Linked DNA regions of Caenorhabditis elegans. The protein of the gene in region 3 purifies or fractionates together with the protein of the main gene of each other region. This does not show direct contact. Each region holds a gene or a part of one and is shown on either strand. Other genes may lie near its edges. The genes, in order: odr-10, odr-8 and odr-4.

Region 1 (4,742 bases), on a different chromosome or scaffold from region 3:
CCAGTCCACTATTCTGAAAACATATAAATATTGCGGGTTTCCACTGTTGATTGTGTACTTCTCTAGCGCATTTTCAATAAAATCGAACGGATGTTCATACGCATTTTGGGTCGGTAGAAAACAAAAAAGTATTATCAGCCACATTTCGGAAAAAGACAGTAACTGGCAACATTTGCGAATAAATAGGACTCTGGTAACAACAACTTCTATAGAAAAAAATTAGAAAATGAAGATTCAACAAAGACATCAAAGGAAAGTTTTCACGTTTTTCATGTTTTTTTTTTCAATTCCTCATACCTTTTGTCAAATTCAAGAAACCGCTATCCTAATGTTTGTGTTCAAATGTTTAGATTACTGTATTGTACGTACAATGTTCAATTGCTCCATGTTCCAATCAAAAATTTAATGGTGAATGTTTTAAAAATATTTTGTTGTTTCTTTCTTAATTTTTTAATTTTGGTTTAGAAGCCAAGTACAAAAAAGGTATCATCAGCCAAATTTTCTAGTGCTTTCTAGTTTCTACTTTCTAGTACTAACAGCTCCTAAAAGTTAATATCATTTTTATAATAACAACTTCCATTTAAAGCGTTGGAGAATTTGTACACCACAAAAGCATCAAAATTAAGTTTTCAATTTTTATTACCACTTTCAAATAATTTTCTATATCTCTTCATTCCTTTTTTTTAATATAAAAACGACCATCATCAAACATGTTACTTTTAAATGTTGTAGTCAACTTGATGAAGTAAAAAAAAACTGAGAGTCTGATTACTTTTCAGAAATTGAGCCAAGCATAGATCATAAGCAGGTAACATACCGAAAGCAGACTAATTTGTTCTCTTTTTATAGATTTTCAGCTTTTTTCAGCTTTTTCATTATCTACAAGTCAGTTGCTTCTAACTTCTCTTTTAGTTCTAAAATGCCCAAATATAGTAAAAGTTTTTTTTAGAGGGATCACCACCAGGCAGTGTACCTGAATCCCAGATCCGCAGTGCATAGCACTTGAAGAACGGATCGTCCTTTAATCCTTTTTAATCCTGAAACTGTATAACATGACTTCATTCTCATGACAAGTCCAATGAAATTAAAATTTCTCAATTGTGCGATTCTCAGTATTTCAAAAAACATTCATCACGTCGGAACTTGAGACAAATTGGCTCTTGTTGTCGAGCGGGATTCATCAACACTGTTTTTCTTTCCACACAAGAAATCTGAAATTTTGCAATTTGTCAATTTGTAATATATATGTTTTCTTCTTACTGAATATTGTTCTTCGGAAATCACGAATGATCAAAATCAGAATGAGTGGATCGAGTCCCGGGTACAGAAATGAGCAAAACACAATGAAATTGGCGTTTGCATTCAAATTCACGTCAAAAAACGGTGCGATGAACATGACTCCAGTTGGGGCGTACATGAAGATAGTTGGGATGAGTGTCTGAATTCATCTTATACCATGTTTCTAGTTTCAGATCGGGATACCTGAAGAACTAAAGCTTTGAAAAGTTGTTTCTGTAGCGCTCGAGTTCTATCAGATACATCCTTGTGTTCATTCATAGTTTTCCACGTGGCATATCCGCAGTAGAACATCACAACAAACGTCATCGACTAAAACCTTGTTGAATAACTATGTTAGGAACATCTCCGCTTACCATGACAAAGTAATGAACAAAGCATCCAAGCAAGTTTTTGAGGTAGATATGCCTTACTCCGTTTTCGTATTGGTACTGAAAGTATCTAGTTTGATGGTTTCCGTGTTATCAACTTACATAGACGTATGCAATGTACGATACATTCTCCTTTTTGATCCAGTTATAGTGGTTATTTAGTACATTGCTGAAAAAAAAAATTCCTAGCTACAATTCATAGATCTCATACGTGACAGCCGCTTCCGTGTACTCGGTATCTGGATACAAAAAATATGAGACACTAGCCCACATTGTCACGGGTACACTGCAACCAAGTGGCCAAAGTAGAAGAGTTGGCAAGTTGAACAAACGAAGTAGATTCGGTCTGTGAAGGGTGTTATAGTATTTTAATCTAAAAGTATGTATACTAATAATAGAGAGCTAATAGTCCACCCCTACAAGTTTTGCATCCTACATTAGTGCTGCACCTTTACAGCAAGGTTCCACAAGTCATTTTTTCAACCGATCATTTGCAGTTTATTTATAATGCTGTTCCTATTGGATACTGTACTAATAGAGCAATACTAACAAAAGAAATACGAAACTTAGCCCGTTTTACAATTGTACTTACTTGCAAGTTGCAAAATATCGATAAACAAAGTGAACTCCTGAGACAACAAAACTGGTGGCAAAACAAGCACAGTAAAACGCAGAGTTGATTTTTCCAAGTTTGGTGGAGTAGTTGAATCTTTTCCTTGAGATCAAAAAGAAAGTGGTGTTCTCAATATGCATTATCTGAAATTTAATACATTATTAACTTCAAGTTCAACAGTTTAGCCTACAGGTCGTAATATGAACTCGATGATGGCGTAAAAAATCGAGAATACTGAGAAAAACGCCATGAGATATTTATAAGTGCCCAAGTTTTTTCCACGTGTTTTCAGAAGTCCGAGAAGAACAATGTTGACACAGAAGGTGAGGGTGACGCCGACAATGTCCGCTGTGTCAACTAGGGTAATCCACAATTCTCCCGACATGGAGCTGTAAGGTATCTTAATGAAATTATGAGAATTTCATGCCACCGCCAACAAAAAATTAATTAAACTGAATACATGGTTATATGTGCTTTGTTCCTAACCTATTTTATAGTAACTTGAAGCCAGGGGCGTGTCGTTTGAGCCATTATTTTCCTGGAATTTGTCTACATACGCAACTTATAGTCAGATATATTGTTTTCAAAATCTGAAATCTGATTTCACGAGGTATTCAGTTAAAAATAATACGTTTGTATCCACAAATTCAGAATTGGGAAAATATATTGAATTTATTATTCCAATCACAAGATGCTACAATTAAAACCTGAATCACACACATCAGCTGGTTGTGTTGTAGTAAATGTCATGAATCACAACACAATGTATCCTAAATGAATGATCTCTCTTCGATTATGTGAAATTGGATGTATTTACTGCCTACTCACAAGGGAAGCATTTCAACATAATCCCGGACTTCTGAATGAAACCTATGCCATTTTGAAGAAGACCCTTTAAAGAAGGAGTATCGTCAATGGGAAAATTGTTTTAAAATGTAGTATTCGTGCTCAAACTTAAGAATATTACAAAACAAAAACGGGAGAATCCGCTTAGATTCAGCATTTTAAGTCGAAAAAATCTTTAAAAATTAACTACAGAAATCCTAGGCCACGACGATCTTTCGAATTTTTATTTGTTTTGGTATTGTCCTTTGAAAAAATACTCAATACAATTTCTTCTTCCCAGTTTTCTTGAACTTTTCCAGAAAGAAAAGCGAATTAAAGTTCGAAAAATTACATTTAAATCAATATTTTGTTTACGAATATGGCCTAAAAGTTGCGTGGTGGCCTAGGATTCATTTGCGCGCGAAATTCAAATTCAGCCACTTTCAGCCACTTTCGTCGATTTCAACGGCTAAATGCTGAATGTTAACGGATTTTTTCCGTTTTTCTTTTGCGATAATTGAAAGTTTGAGTACAAATACTACATTTTAAAACAATTTTCCCATTGACGATACTCCTTCTTTAAGTAGGCCCCTCCAAAAAATGTAGCGGCAGAGGAGCACTTTGAACTGGAAAAAAGTCGCTCTGAAAATTTTTCTCTGCGTCCTCTCATTTTCCAATGCTATTTCGCACGTCCCTATATATTTAAGTAGATATCAAAGTGTCACGTTTTCTGGTTTTTGTCATTTATTTCATTTACAAAAAAAGTGTCATCGAATGACCGAGTGGTTAGCGAGTTTGATTAATATTTCTTAAGTCTGGGGTTCGACTCCGGGTGCCGATTTTTTCCAAAATTTGTTTTTGCAACTCCGAAAAATCTCAAAAATTTTTTCATTGTGTAAAAACACCCAATTTTGATATTAAATAACTTTGACAACTTTTCTGAATTTAAAAAAAAAATTATATTCACTGAAAAATTTTGTCATGGACTTATTCAAAAAATTTCAGATTTTTTCGAAAAGTTTAAAAAATTCCAAAAAAATTCCGAGTGCTCTCCGGCCCCTGAGCATCCTAGAAATTATCAAAAATCTACAAAAATTCACATTTGGAGCCATTCTACGGGCCTTGAAAGTTGTGAAAAAATGCACTGAAAAGTTTTCAGAGCGATATTTTGCCAGGTCAAAGTGCTCCTCTGCCGCTAATTGTTTTGTAGGGACCTACTTAAAGAGTCTTCTTCGAAATGACATAGGTTTCATTCAGAAGTCCGGGATTAAGTTGAAATACTTCCCTTGTCAGATGTAATTCTGTACTTGATACTTGGAAAGTATAGATCTAGCGGTTTTCTGTAATGAAACATCATTTATTCATTGGTATAGGTATTTACAAAAATTACAGTTACCCAACCTTTCAAAAAACTGCTTAATATCCTTTAATTGAAATTTTCAAGGGACTACTGAAGTGTCGAAGAATATGAACAAAAGGTTCGCATTATAAACTCTTGACACTGGTGGCCTTGCGGTTAGCGCGTTCGATTAGCGTGCCGGCACCCACTGGTTCAATTCCCTGTGTATGACGACAACATGTTAGGGACATCTGCACAAACCGTGAAGATTTAACGAAAGTAGTACTGACACAGTGTC
Region 2 (6,028 bases), on a different chromosome or scaffold from region 3:
CAACGGTGACGATGATCTCTGTTCGTGCCATAAAACAAATGTTGTCAGGCCAAGTTGATTACCGTTACAAAGCGGATACAATGCAAATGGGTCGATTCATCAGTTTGGATAACTTGAAAGATCAAAAGTTTGATCCCAGCCAGCATATTGCTATTGAGAAAATCATCGTCAATGGCCTAAGTAAGAATATGTGAGTGTTAGGAAGCCGTTTGAAATACTTAACAATTTGCTTTTTAGAAATCAAGATTTCCAAACTTGCTTCAAATCGTGGCCTAAAGAATTGATTGCTGATCATGGTATCTATGTTTCTGAACCACTCGGAGGACAACTAACCCAGTGGGCACGAATGTATTTCGAACCGGATCAATTGGGCGAAGCAATTTAATTTGATGGATTTATGTTTTGTGAATAAAATGACTGAAAAATGAATTCGTTGGATTGAATTGTGTACAATTTTCGTTCAAAACAATACCTTTCAATTTTTGCGCAAGAATACGTTACATGGTCTCGATACGACAAATTTTCGAGCGTTGAAAAAGTACTGTAATTTCAAAATTTTTTTGCTGCCGAATTTTCATTTATTTTTCATAATATAACATTTCTTCCGATTTGATAAAATTTAACTATTAATAAATAGAAAGTGTTTTTTTAATCGAATGAAAAATTCCGCAGTAACGAAAGTTTGGAATTACAGTCCTCGGTTAAAGGCGCGTACCATTTGCATTTAAGGAAAACCGGGCACAGTTCTTTTAGCTCAACAACCCGCAAAAGTTGCGTATGGTTAATAAAATGAAATTTTTGAAGAACCAACAATTGGTAATTCGATGTTTCTAGATCGCCATGCTTGACTTGTACTCAACTTTTGACCAATTTTTTATTCCCAAAAAACGTTGGTTGGGCTATAGAAAGCATTTCTCTATAGAGGAAATAAATTAATCACAGACGAGAAAGGACTAATCCAGGTTTAAAAAAATATAGGAATTACAATGTAAATGGGTAGAAGGTTGGCAATAATTTAGATATATAATGCATTGTTTTTCATAGGCATGGTAATACAAAGTCACTCAAATAGCATCGCTAGGCGGTTGAGGAAGGACCATATTGTAGAAATGATCTTTGCTCCAGAAGCTCGCTGGTTTCCATGCACACCATCCTTTTGAAGTGATTGTTTTGATATCTTCGGAGCCAGTGTAATGAGGATCAAGAACGAGGAATCTGGAAATTATTGTGTTGCTATACTTCCAATTTGAAAAAAAAAAACTCACTTAGTCTCTCCAGTGGTATCATTGAAATCGACTCCAAGAATAGTATGTGCAAGCATATTTCCTCCGATCATAACAGGAGTTCCAGATGTTTCAAAATGTCGAGCAAGTTCACGAACTCTTTCGACAACTTCTGCGCCCGAGTTGGTAGCGATGAAACGGCATTCTAACTCTGAAATGTTTAACTATTAAATACAATTACTCAACAACTACTTACTGAGTAGCTCATTGAGCACAAAACTGATTTCAGTACTACCAATCCACTGTCGTGAACCAACAAACTTCGCTTGCTTGTCTTGAATATCAACAAGCGCCTGCAACAAATAAAACAACTTCAATTGAAATCTGCTTAAGCCAACCTGCTGAATTTCCCGATGACTTGGCACAGGTTTATCAGTATATCCATTCAAAATGAACCAACTCCAGATAGTTTGGAAACTACGATATGCACATCCCCATCCACTATCATCAATTCCATCTTGCATGTAATGATGATAATTGTACGGCCCATTTACAGTGGTTATTTCACCAACTGGTTGATCTGAAAATTAATTCTGAGTCTTTGCTTGTTTAGACCCAAAATTGCCAAAAACTTCCGCATTTCGTTATGAAACGTTCTGAAAATTTCTCAAAAGAAAAAGTTAATGCGGTTTTTTTTTCAGCTAAAATCTCGAATTTTGACAACTTGATGATTCAAACTTCCGCAATTTCCGGGTCTGTCAAGTTGGCAAAATTTGATGTCTCATTACGAAATTCTGTAGTTTTGGGTCCAACAAAGCAATGCCTCAAATTTCGGTACTCCATTTTTAAACATACAATTTGTTATAGACAAATGTGGCTCTCGAATGAGCTTCTTGTTGGTCAAACGAGCACTCTCTGAGTGGAGAGCCAACGCTTGAGACAATCGAAGAACTGGCTTAGATGATGGCAAGTTGAACAACTTGTGAAGACGAATACGGTAATTTCCTAGAAAATTGAATTTTTATAGAAGTTGAAACGCTTTCTATGAATACTTTGTTCATTGTCCGTCCATTTAGTTGGAAGTTGGAGATGAAGTAGAGAAACCCATCCAGGTGGAAGATAAGTTGCAGATGTGGTCGTTGTTACTCCGCGCTGCAAGATATCAATCGATATAAAAAATATTACATTTCAATTTTTACCCCAGCTCTTATTCCATTGACTGTAACCATCATTGTATTGTTAGCTCTTCTATTGAATGCCTCACGTGATCGTTTGTACAAATCCAGTGAAGAATCTCCAAAGAACGCTGGGAAAACTACCTCACCAATTGTGACGAGCCGAGTGAAATGTTTGTTATCTAAATTACGAATTTAATATCTTTATAAAATAACAAAATTCTTTACCCTTGGTAACCTTAACTGTTGGAACCAGCTTTTGATCTTCCGTATCATTAGATGTATCCCTAGTGAGAGATTGCATGGCAGTGAATTCGATAACATCCTGAAATTCCGTCAATCATATTAATTTTAGACAGTATTTCCAAACCTTATATGGTACAGCGCCTTTCGAGAATTTATCAAGATACTTCTGTTGAGCAGCTTCTGGCTTCTGCTCACGGATCACCAACCCGTGTTCAGCGTTTAGATATGTGAAACGAAAAGAAGCCATTGAAAGACGTTCGGCAGCAGATTTGACATCTTCTTGTTCACGACCTGCTCGAAGTGACCACTCGTATCCAACCTGAAACGGACCGTTTTTATTCAATAATTTAAAGATCTTATGGGAACGTACTCTGCTGACACAACTAGCTCCTTCCATAAGAACATGTTCATTGTTGAACATCACATTCATATCCAAAAATTCGCTGATACTTCGATTTTCAAGCATTCGAGATGTCAGCTGAAGGGTGAACTGCCCGCCAGGAAGAATCTGTGATTGTCCATCAATATTCAAGTTTCCAACCAGTTCAATATCTGAATTAAATCTCAGTTTTTAATAATATTATTCCATTAATTACCAGCAGACAGAGAGCTCTCCAAGAATTGTCTGTTCGATTCAGTCAGATCTTCAGCGTAGGCGAATAGCACATGGATAACCTGTTTCCGAGCTTTACGTCCGAAAACGAATCCGCCAATTGTCGTATTAATTTCGTTGGCATTGGATTTGGAGAACGAGCGGAGGTTGGCGTAATTCTTAAAATATTTCGTGTGAAATCTTTTATCTCGCAAGACTGATTTTGGAGTGTTTTCAGATTTTATTTCGTTTTTTTCCGTTTTTCAACTAGTATAGAAAATCGAATAATTTCAGCACTTCTTAAAACTTTCATAGCTCATTTCCACATAAATTACCTGAAACATTGCCTGCGCATCAATAAACCACAATTCATTCACAGGAGGTGGAGGTGTTGATTGTGGAGCCATCTGAGTTGGTCCAATTAGTGAGACAGTTTGAGAATTCGTCATTCTTCTTCTCTTCCAATCACCTTTCAAAAGATAATAATAGTTTATGGATATTACCACGAATCACGAGAGAATAATATTGAAATGTGTCATTTATACGACCAGCGAGCTGAATATGGGGACTTGTAGAAGGGGATTTTGCAATAGAGAGATGAATAATTTAAATTATTTGTGTATTTTACAAAGAAAACGAGAATAAATCAATCGATAAACGGAAGAAGCGGGTGGGACTAATAAATAAATTGCAATTTGTTTGGGCATTTAACAGAAAAGGATAGTTTAGAAAAAAATGGGAGAAGAAAAATTTTGTTTCAATTCTCAACCTATCTACACCCTAGAAATCGTATCACATTACAAGAAAAAGCGATTAAAAGTCCAATAATTAGACATAAACATTTTAGGAAAGAACAAAATAACGATGAAAACGCCTGTAGATCGAATGTAGACGGCTGCTATGCTGTTGTGCCCGCTTCAATCAATGAGTTGTTCTGAAAAGATATACGAGTTAGTGGGTTGGTTGTCATGGGTAACTTGTGCGGAGCAGGTGATACCAGAAAAGCTAATAACGAGAGAAGACGGGAGAAGCACGAAAATGAGATTAGGTTTGCTATTATTTCATTCTTTGAATGGGGAGTTGGTAATTCGCGTAATTTCTCATCCCTGTGGTACGGTTTTTCCTTCTTTTTTTTTGAATAAAAATATTATGTATCTAATTCAATTCCCATAAGATTGTGAGAATACTTCGTTTTTACAACAAATCTAACATGAAATTTCCTCATAATCGTATGAGAATTGAATTAGGTAACATTTTCATTAGAAAAAATAGTGAAACCAGTAAAATTGAGAACTTATCGAAAAAAAACCACCAAAAAACGGTGGAAAACAATGCCACAGGCTTGCAAAACTACGCGCTGCCTCTCTCTGTGCGACCTTGATTTTGCAAAATTCACGTTTAATTTCATCGTTTAATTTCAACATTCCCAAAACTAAATTTTAAACAAAAATTTCCAACCTACCAACGAGACTCTATGAATGTGCTAACACGATTGAAGATAGCACGTCCTCCACGATAAGCCAAATATCCCAAAGATCCCCAGACAACAATACGGACGCCAGTGGAGAAAACCTGGAAATAAAGAAATGAAAGAATTAAAATAACTTCAGATTAATTTACCTTTGTTCCGAGGCTTGGTGGTGGGATGTTCATAAGTGGATCAAAATCAATATTTGTATTCCATTTGTTAACAATTCCTGGAGTATGTCCGATTCCAACGACAGCAACAACTGTCAACGGTTGAAATTGTTGCCCAGTTGTTCCACGAAGCCATTGTGCACGTTTTTCGACTGAGTTCCGGTGTACGAGCATATGCAAAGCATGCGTCATGTAGGCATCACGCTCTTCCACAAAGATTTGGGATAGTTGTGGGAAATCATCAGCCATCTCGGCGAGAAGTTGCTCCAGAAGGTCACGTTGCTTGCATCGTTCCACCTATAATTTTGGAATATTTTTGGAAAAGGTTGAATAATTAAATACCTCTTCTGCAGTTATCTTCTCACGATGTGAAAATGCAACGTGGAAGAAGAAGCGAATTTTTTGCCAGATGGAGAGAGAAGCCAGTGCACGTTGAAGTGTAACTTGAATAGGACGATCACCGAGAACTACACGACAATTCTGAAATAGTTACTTTGTAAATAAAACTTTTTAAATACTCAAACCTCAGTTGCAACTGCTGCACGATGAGCAGCACGGAATTCTCCTCCGGGAGCCATGGAAAGTTCACGTGTTACATGCGCTGACATTGACAGGAGAAGAACGTGCAGAATTCCTTGAATCGCGCCGTTCTTAAAAAAGTTGAAAATATTACAACATTACAACAACAAAAATATGAGAACTCACTTGTTTCATGGTCTGAATAATTTTTTGAGAGTTGAGATCTTTCGCTTCGCTCAAAAGCCGAGCCTCATCCATCGATATGATTGAAATTCGTGATGGACACAGCTCAAGCATGACAAAATCAGGTTGCACAGCACGAATTGTGTTGGATACGTCTTCCTGCGACTCTTTTGAAAAGTGAGCTGTACCGATGAGATAAATGGTGGAGTCGAGAATCGCTTTCTTCCATTCTTCATCAGAATCGCTCAGCACGGGGTTGCGTGGAGGAATCGCCAGATTTGTAGGCCATTTGAGCACTGTTACTGTAATTATAGAATATAGATATCAGTGTTACATCGAACTGGAGTTTTAAGAAACCTGTATTGGCATTTGGGACGAAGTCATCTGCTCTTTTCCTTCCGAAATGGTACCCTCCACAAACAGGATTGTTCACCACTGCACCATCTTCTGTT
Region 3 (6,429 bases):
AAAGGCGCATGACTTCTTTCAAAAGTATCAGTCGTGACGGGTTCTCGGAGTGTCGTTGCGAGCCAATCTCTGTTCGCATCATAATTACTAATTTTGGTAACAATGAAAAATTACCTGACAAATTTCTGAGCAACCGAGCTCAATTGATAATAAGATTTACATCCGGAGAAAGCGTGCATTCCGAGAATTGAGCAAAGTCTCTCTTGTTGACAAAAACAACTTTTTATCGTTCGATCCATTTTGTAGGATTGGTCGTAGAATCTTTAACAGTTCAAGTTATTAGGAAAACTAGTCGAAACCGGGTACGACTTACCGAATATATTTAGATTCGCATCCACCTCCACAGTTATATGGATTACAATCTCCATCGATTGGTCCTTTACACCATTGAGAATTATATTCATATCGTTTTGGTTTGCTGAAATTCAATGTGAACAACTACAGAAAATCAAGGGTAGCACAGTAACCTTAACAATGAAAAATTTAATCGAATGGATTAAAAATTTTAGTTTATCTTTTTGGACCGCACAAAAACTATGGAATAAACTAATGAAAAAGTAAGCAAGAATGCAAGCTACAGTAATCTTGAAGCCGCATCAGAAACTCTTTTCTATAAATGAATTTTCCGCGGTGGAACCCAAATTTCCATTTCCAGATATCTTGAGTGAATTCAAAGATCAAATAGTGTGTATTTGTAACCGAACCTCAGAATGACATCTCAAACATTTTACACTTTTTTCTACAAACTTACACTCATCCATCTCCTCCTATCCCCATTTTTTTCTCATCCTACCCCCCGACCTCTCTGAAGCAGTTTCCTACCACCGTAAATGTAACATTTTATTCGAAAATGATCACCATCTGGTTAATGGCAAAAGACCGCCCGCAGAGCATCGTAGAGCAATGCAAAAGAAAAGAGCAAAAAGCTGAGATTTGCTGCTCATTACGAGCTCGTTGAGTTGAGGATTTGGGGCCTCCGTCGCAAAAGCTGAAGCTATTTTGCTCGAAAAATCATGACTGATTGTGTTAATGGGTAGTTTTACGGTGATAAAACAGTTTTTTGGATTAGTGAGGTACCTTATTACGAGTGTAACTACAGTAAACCTTTCCTATTTGCCCAGTGGAACAAGGAGAAATTACTTTTTTTTTCGGCTATTTCATGATTTTGCCTACAGAAATTGAAGAAGTTGGCACCTACGCCGTTACTTGATGCGAGACTATACCTTACAATATTTTCTAAACTTCTTGCCAGTAAAAATATAATTGTTTTTGGAAAACTCAACATCTAATAGTAAGTGAAAGTTCTATAGATAAGATCAGAAATGAAGTAAGTAAGAAAAATGGCTCATTTCAGACCTGCTAAATTGGAAGAAACCATCCATAAAACCCATCAATCAAATGAACCAGTACCTGGATAAGCTGTTTGATGAGATATGTGTTCCGACAGAGCTGATCTGTTCAAAGATGACCAACAAAGTGACAAGTAGTGATGCGATTAATAATGTCATGATGTAGTAGATCAATTGATACTGATAAGAAGGTGGAGAATTGAAATAAGAAGGGGAGGTGGTCCAGTGGAAGGGAGAAGCTCTTGACAACTGACACTGGTCAGAAGAAACTCACGGGAAGAGACGATGGGAAACATTGGAAACAATTTCTTCAGTTTTTTGTTTTTTTCTCCGCGTCTCGTTGATTCTTATCTTGAAGCTCCACCCCAATAGATGATTTGGGAAGAATGGTTGGGTTGGGAAAAAGCTTCTGAAAAATATTCCCGTCGAAGTCAGATGTTTAAAGATGGAAAGACACTTTTAAATGAAACTCAATCATTTTGGATACAATTTCTCAGCTGGCGGTCGAACTGGAAACCAAGCTGGAAACCTTGGGAAAACAACCCTGTTACTTAATATATAAATAAATGAAGCCTAGAAAAAAATCGGTCATCAATCCAATTATTTTCCAGGAACCAAATACCTAAATTGTTTAGGAATTGAGTAATAAAATAAATATTTCTGTGACGTCACTATCTTAATCTGCCATTTCACTAAAAAAGTCTAAAACTAATTTCAGGGTTTGGTGTTTCTATGCCCGAAAAGACTTCATATTCCACCTGCCAATTTTCGCCTTGAAAACTTGTGCTCCAACACTCACAAAGACTTTTCCTCTCTGCCTGGTTCTTCAGCCATTTTTTAAATGTTGTTTTAATTTTTATTTATCAAGACTTGACTGATTGACAGTTAAAAAATTATAGTTGATAAAACAGGAAAAAGGTTTGTTCTATCGTCATATCAAAATTGTAATAGTCGGACGTTCAGGGAATTTATTATGATTCAGTGAAGGGTCCTAGGGTAAAATACAAATATTTTAGACAACAAAATTGGTAGATGAACTATAAAACTTCGATTATTTTTTTTTTTGCAAAAGTTTGCACAGTTTTATAGAAGAAAGTATTCAATTGTTGTTCTTTTGTTCGTCTATGTTCCGATTCTCAAAACATTTCGAAAATTCAATTTCGAAAAAAAAACACTCTTTCTCGATTAGAAGAATCTCGTGGTTTCAGATTCAAACATTGAAATGACTAGAAATAGAAGAAAGTCAAAGACTACAGCTACATCTCATCCAGAGTTGCATTTGGAAAAGGTGGACCCCATGAAAACAGGTAATTGAATATTTTTTAAAATTAAATTTTCAATATTTTCTAAATATTTATCAGATAATCTGCTGTTTTCACGAAATTGAGCATTCACGGTTATTGTTGACTTAGCTTTTAGTTAACTTATAAGTTGTTCCAAAAACTTTTGGAAATTGCCAATATTGGGGTCAGAAAGTGCGCTCTGTCGAACTGTCCAACAAAACAATTTTTAAGCGATTTCTGTTTTTTTTCCGTCTTTTTCTTTGAGTTTTCTTCTTTTTTTTTGCTAATTTTCAGCTATTTTACAAATAGAAAATTGTATTTCTTATTTATATTCATAAAATACAACTTTTGATTCCTAGAAATAAGTAAGGGAGTAAAATAAAACGAAGAAAGTACGATGTTCCAATTAAATCCGACTCTTCGCAGCTGTCATTATTGAAATTTGTTTTTCAACGTAAGCGATCTCTCTTTTAACTTTCAGAAAATAAATTTAAACTCTGAAGTTTAGCAAAAACGCCTATATTTAACACGCGTGCCCACTTTACCCGTTAGATGCCTTCGCACAAAAACTAATTTCACGATTACATCTTATTTTCTCGCTCGCGGCGCTCCTCCGGCCGAGCTGGGGGTGTGCATGTTACCTGAGGAGACCGCCTTTTTCTCAATTTCTTGGGTATTCATCGTCATGGTAACCCTCTTTTTGTTTGCCACAGCAGCAGTTGGCTTATCATCCACCTCCTCTGTATACTTTTCAATCAACGTCTCCACATGTATTCTGCATAGCCTTCATACTATATTGACTCGCTAAAGTATTGTCCAAAAACTAACTATCATCTACAAAAAATGACATCAACACTTGCAATTCCAGTTACAGAATCCATGATTCTGTTTGACGTCCAACTCCAGGAATGGGTGACCAAGTCAGCGAAGAATCACGAATTTGTTTTATCCGATAAAGGAATTCCGGCGTCAGCCTACTTTTTGCTCGGATCATTCTGCTCGGATGGTGACATCCACGTGGCATATGCTTCCAAATGTCCGGTTCATAGCAGTGCATTGGAAGAGGTAAAGGATTTTACTATATCACAATTTTCATAATAGTAATTATTTTCAGAATGCTACAGAATCATCAAAGATGCTGGAAGACGAATGGATGTCAGATCACGCAGAACGTCTTCTCCGAATGCTTCCCGGTGGAATTCATGTGGTTGGAATTGCCTGGTTCTCAGATAAGAAGACTTTCTCAGATCGGAAATCACATATTCACAAGACATTGGGTCGTATTCAGAAAATGAATAATCAAATCACAACGGCTAATGTGGATGACTCGATTTCGGATAATATGGTAGGTATCTCAAAATTAGAAAAATTTGCAATGTATATTTTATTTTTCTGGGAAAACAATTATTGTAAAAACTAATAGTTCCTTTCAGATATTGCCAATCCTTTCTTTTCAAAAATCAGTAATATTCTTTCACTTTCAGATCACAGTGTTCTTCGAGACCCCATCCACCACCCCCATCGGTGCCATAATTGATGTGACCAATCGTGGCAACGATAGTGCCCAAAAAGTTCAATTTCAAAAACTTGAATGGATTTCTTTGGTGACAAACGCATCTGCTCGAATTGTGCACAATGTTCCAGTTGACACAGGACGCCCAACTGACTTCTACTCTGACTTGGTAGTCGCCACGAAAAACTTTGTGAATAATTTATTCCAATGTGAATTTACACTTCTTGATGGTGAGATCCGTGATGATAAGGAGCCACTGATCAAAGATATCAAGAAGAATAAAAAGACAACGATTGAGGCACAATTGTTCTTGAATCCTCTTTGTATGTTTTTTTCTGTTTTATTTGACTATGAGACCAATCGTCAAAAAGTTCTAGATAACCGAGAGCTCGGAGCTATCGATGATATTGCGTCCAACATGCACGAAGTTCTTTTTGACATTGAAGTTCGCGCAGCTGTTCCAATCAGATCAACAGTGAAGGACGCAATCCGAGCAATCAAGCATCATTTAGTCAGGAATCTGTTTGCAAGAGTTGGTTAGTTGAAAACAATTTTTTTGAGTTTTTAATGTTCAAAATATCTATTTCAGAACTTCACTACGAATCGATGGAAGTTGTTGAAGAGGAACGATCACCAAAAACTGGAATCACCGTCCATCAACTACCTCGTCCAGCTACTACAGTACTCTACACACATCCAGCAATTCTCATCAATGATTTCCTCTTTGAGGCTGATAATGTAGAAGATGCACAGAAGAATTTTGATGACATGATGGATTTACAGACAAGCATTGGTACAAAACATCTTTTATTCTTCGAATTTCGACTAACAAATTTCAGAACACGTGGATGAAGGCTGGGAACGCGCGCTGACACCAGAAGAGATGGAAGCTGTGCGAACACCGATTGAGGATCTTCATTTCGTTGACTTCGATGGATCAAGCGATTCATGGTGCACAACGAAAACCATACTGATTACTATTGCATTGATTATCGGACTCTTGGCATCCATTATTTATTTCACTGTAGCACATTCCTGAGCTAGTTTTCCCCGAGCATTATGACGTAATTTTGCATATTTTCCAAGTATTTATATATTTTTTCTCTGTGATAAAATACTTCATTTAAATAATCGAATAAGTTAAATCGCATAATATTAAGTATCGAGAATTCGCGTGAAAGATCTTATGGTTTAATATTCGTAGAGATCTCCCCATCACACAACATTGCGTATGCATTTAAAACCACTGGTGTACCTGCATTCAAGACTTCTTCCGCCAATCTGGAATGAAATTTGTGTATACAACAGATTTCGCACAAAACCGCATTTATCAGTATCCATTTGATATAGATACGATTTTCTTTATTATATACTATACATAGGAACTTTTTAAAACCTCCCATTGAAGTATGTTTTTTTTTTTGGAAAAATAACTTACTTCATAGCGGTCACGCATGAAACAGCAGTTAGTGTAACCTTGATTGATTTTTTATCGATTGGCTCTCCTGTGGCGTGCACATCTGGGTGGCTAGTCCTAATTGCGTTAAGGATTTCATCTTTAGTGGTCGTCGAAGTCTCGAGCTTATGAAAAGTAATTGTGACAGTACTTGGAACATCGGATTGAGGAGTGCTGTGCTGAGTCACTGGTGCACACATTTCGGCAGCTCCAGCAAAAGTTACAAGAAGCAAAGAAATAGAAATTAGAGCAGTCATGTTTTTTTTTCAGAAATAGGCAATAAATTGACTGACTCTTCCCACGAAACGCCATCTTTTTATACCGTACTATTTGTGGACCTACATATTTTTTTGGTGTTTATAGAAGAATCATAAGATGTCTCTGTTTGATAATCTCGTCTCTGTTTTGATGTCTCTGTTTGATAATCTCGAAAAGACCAAAAGAACAAACTATACAACTATTGATACTACAATAGTTTTTTATTCAGCTTCATACTTTAATGGGAAGCTTCATGTATACTCATGATCTACTGTATTATTAGTACAACATTTAGTACAGTGAAGTTTGGTCAGTGGAAATGCTTTTAGTTTGATCAATAGAGAAATTGTAAGTATAAAAAGAAAACTCGGAGAAATCACTTAAGATATATAGGGTAGAACAAAATAATGCCAAAATCCTGGAAACAATTTGGAATTTTGTTTTCAAACAGCTGTGCAAAGTAATTATGTAACGCAAACCTATATATTTTAAAATCAGTTATTTAACAAATATGCAACAAAAATCAAGCGAACGGGTTCGTTCACAACTGAAGGTTTTGGGCGTGCCCTG

What was found.
Region 1: the proteins of odr-4 (region 3) and odr-10 purify together in Caenorhabditis elegans (affinity purification with western blotting, with the first as the bait; one study listed by BioGRID). This does not show direct contact.
Region 2: the proteins of odr-4 (region 3) and odr-8 purify together in Caenorhabditis elegans (affinity purification with western blotting, with the first as the bait; one study listed by BioGRID). This does not show direct contact.

The regions. Positions count from the first base shown.
Region 1 is NC_003284.9:6,863,271-6,868,012, forward strand, and holds odr-10 (Serpentine receptor class r-10), read right to left. Parts: upstream 2,670-4,742; 5' UTR 2,666-2,669; coding exon 2,471-2,665; intron 2,424-2,470; coding exon 2,260-2,423; intron 2,014-2,259; coding exon 1,879-2,013; intron 1,837-1,878; coding exon 1,770-1,836; intron 1,728-1,769; coding exon 1,653-1,727; intron 1,609-1,652; coding exon 1,483-1,608; intron 1,439-1,482; coding exon 1,261-1,438; intron 1,212-1,260; coding exon 1,132-1,211; 3' UTR 1,045-1,131; downstream 1-1,044. Other genes in the region: nep-4 (Peptidase M13 C-terminal domain-containing protein), read right to left, coding at 1-13, 59-144. UniProt on the Caenorhabditis elegans protein: An odorant receptor which affects chemotaxis to the volatile odorant diacetyl. Specifies AWA neuronal cell fate via the odr-7 pathway.
Region 2 is NC_003282.8:6,578,976-6,585,003, forward strand, and holds odr-8 (Ufm1-specific protease), read right to left. Parts: upstream 3,730-6,028; 5' UTR 3,686-3,729; coding exon 3,572-3,685; intron 3,416-3,571; coding exon 3,241-3,415; intron 3,197-3,240; coding exon 3,015-3,196; intron 2,964-3,014; coding exon 2,769-2,963; intron 2,724-2,768; coding exon 2,627-2,723; intron 2,581-2,626; coding exon 2,423-2,580; intron 2,376-2,422; coding exon 2,276-2,375; intron 2,229-2,275; coding exon 2,079-2,228; intron 1,804-2,078; coding exon 1,622-1,803; intron 1,577-1,621; coding exon 1,480-1,576; intron 1,435-1,479; coding exon 1,266-1,434; intron 1,216-1,265; coding exon 1,065-1,215; 3' UTR 861-1,064; downstream 1-860. Other genes in the region: C43G2.3 (uncharacterized protein), read left to right, coding at 1-190, 238-385; F38A5.2 (TraB domain-containing protein), read right to left, coding at 4,170-4,170, 4,699-4,808, 4,857-5,171, 5,217-5,354, 5,399-5,524, 5,580-5,878, 5,934-6,028. UniProt on the Caenorhabditis elegans protein: Thiol protease which recognizes and hydrolyzes the peptide bond at the C-terminal Gly of ufm-1, a ubiquitin-like modifier protein bound to a number of target proteins.
Region 3 is NC_003281.10:6,728,663-6,735,091, forward strand, and holds odr-4 (Odorant response abnormal protein 4), read left to right. Parts: upstream 1-2,137; 5' UTR 2,138-2,571; coding exon 2,572-2,656; intron 2,657-2,991; exon of another isoform or gene 2,992-3,086; intron 3,087-3,500; coding exon 3,501-3,697; intron 3,698-3,746; coding exon 3,747-3,977; intron 3,978-4,116; coding exon 4,117-4,468; intron 4,469-4,516; coding exon of another isoform or gene 4,517-4,522; coding exon 4,523-4,681; intron 4,682-4,734; coding exon 4,735-4,938; intron 4,939-4,984; coding exon 4,985-5,184; 3' UTR 5,185-5,274; downstream 5,275-6,429. Other genes in the region: Y102E9.5 (uncharacterized protein), read right to left, coding at 1-69, 115-261, 314-418, 1,411-1,508; Y102E9.3 (HMA domain-containing protein), read right to left, coding at 5,330-5,426, 5,584-5,858. UniProt on the Caenorhabditis elegans protein: Required, with oct-8, for the localization of a subset of 7 transmembrane domain odorant receptors, including odr-10, to the cilia of olfactory neurons AWA and AWC.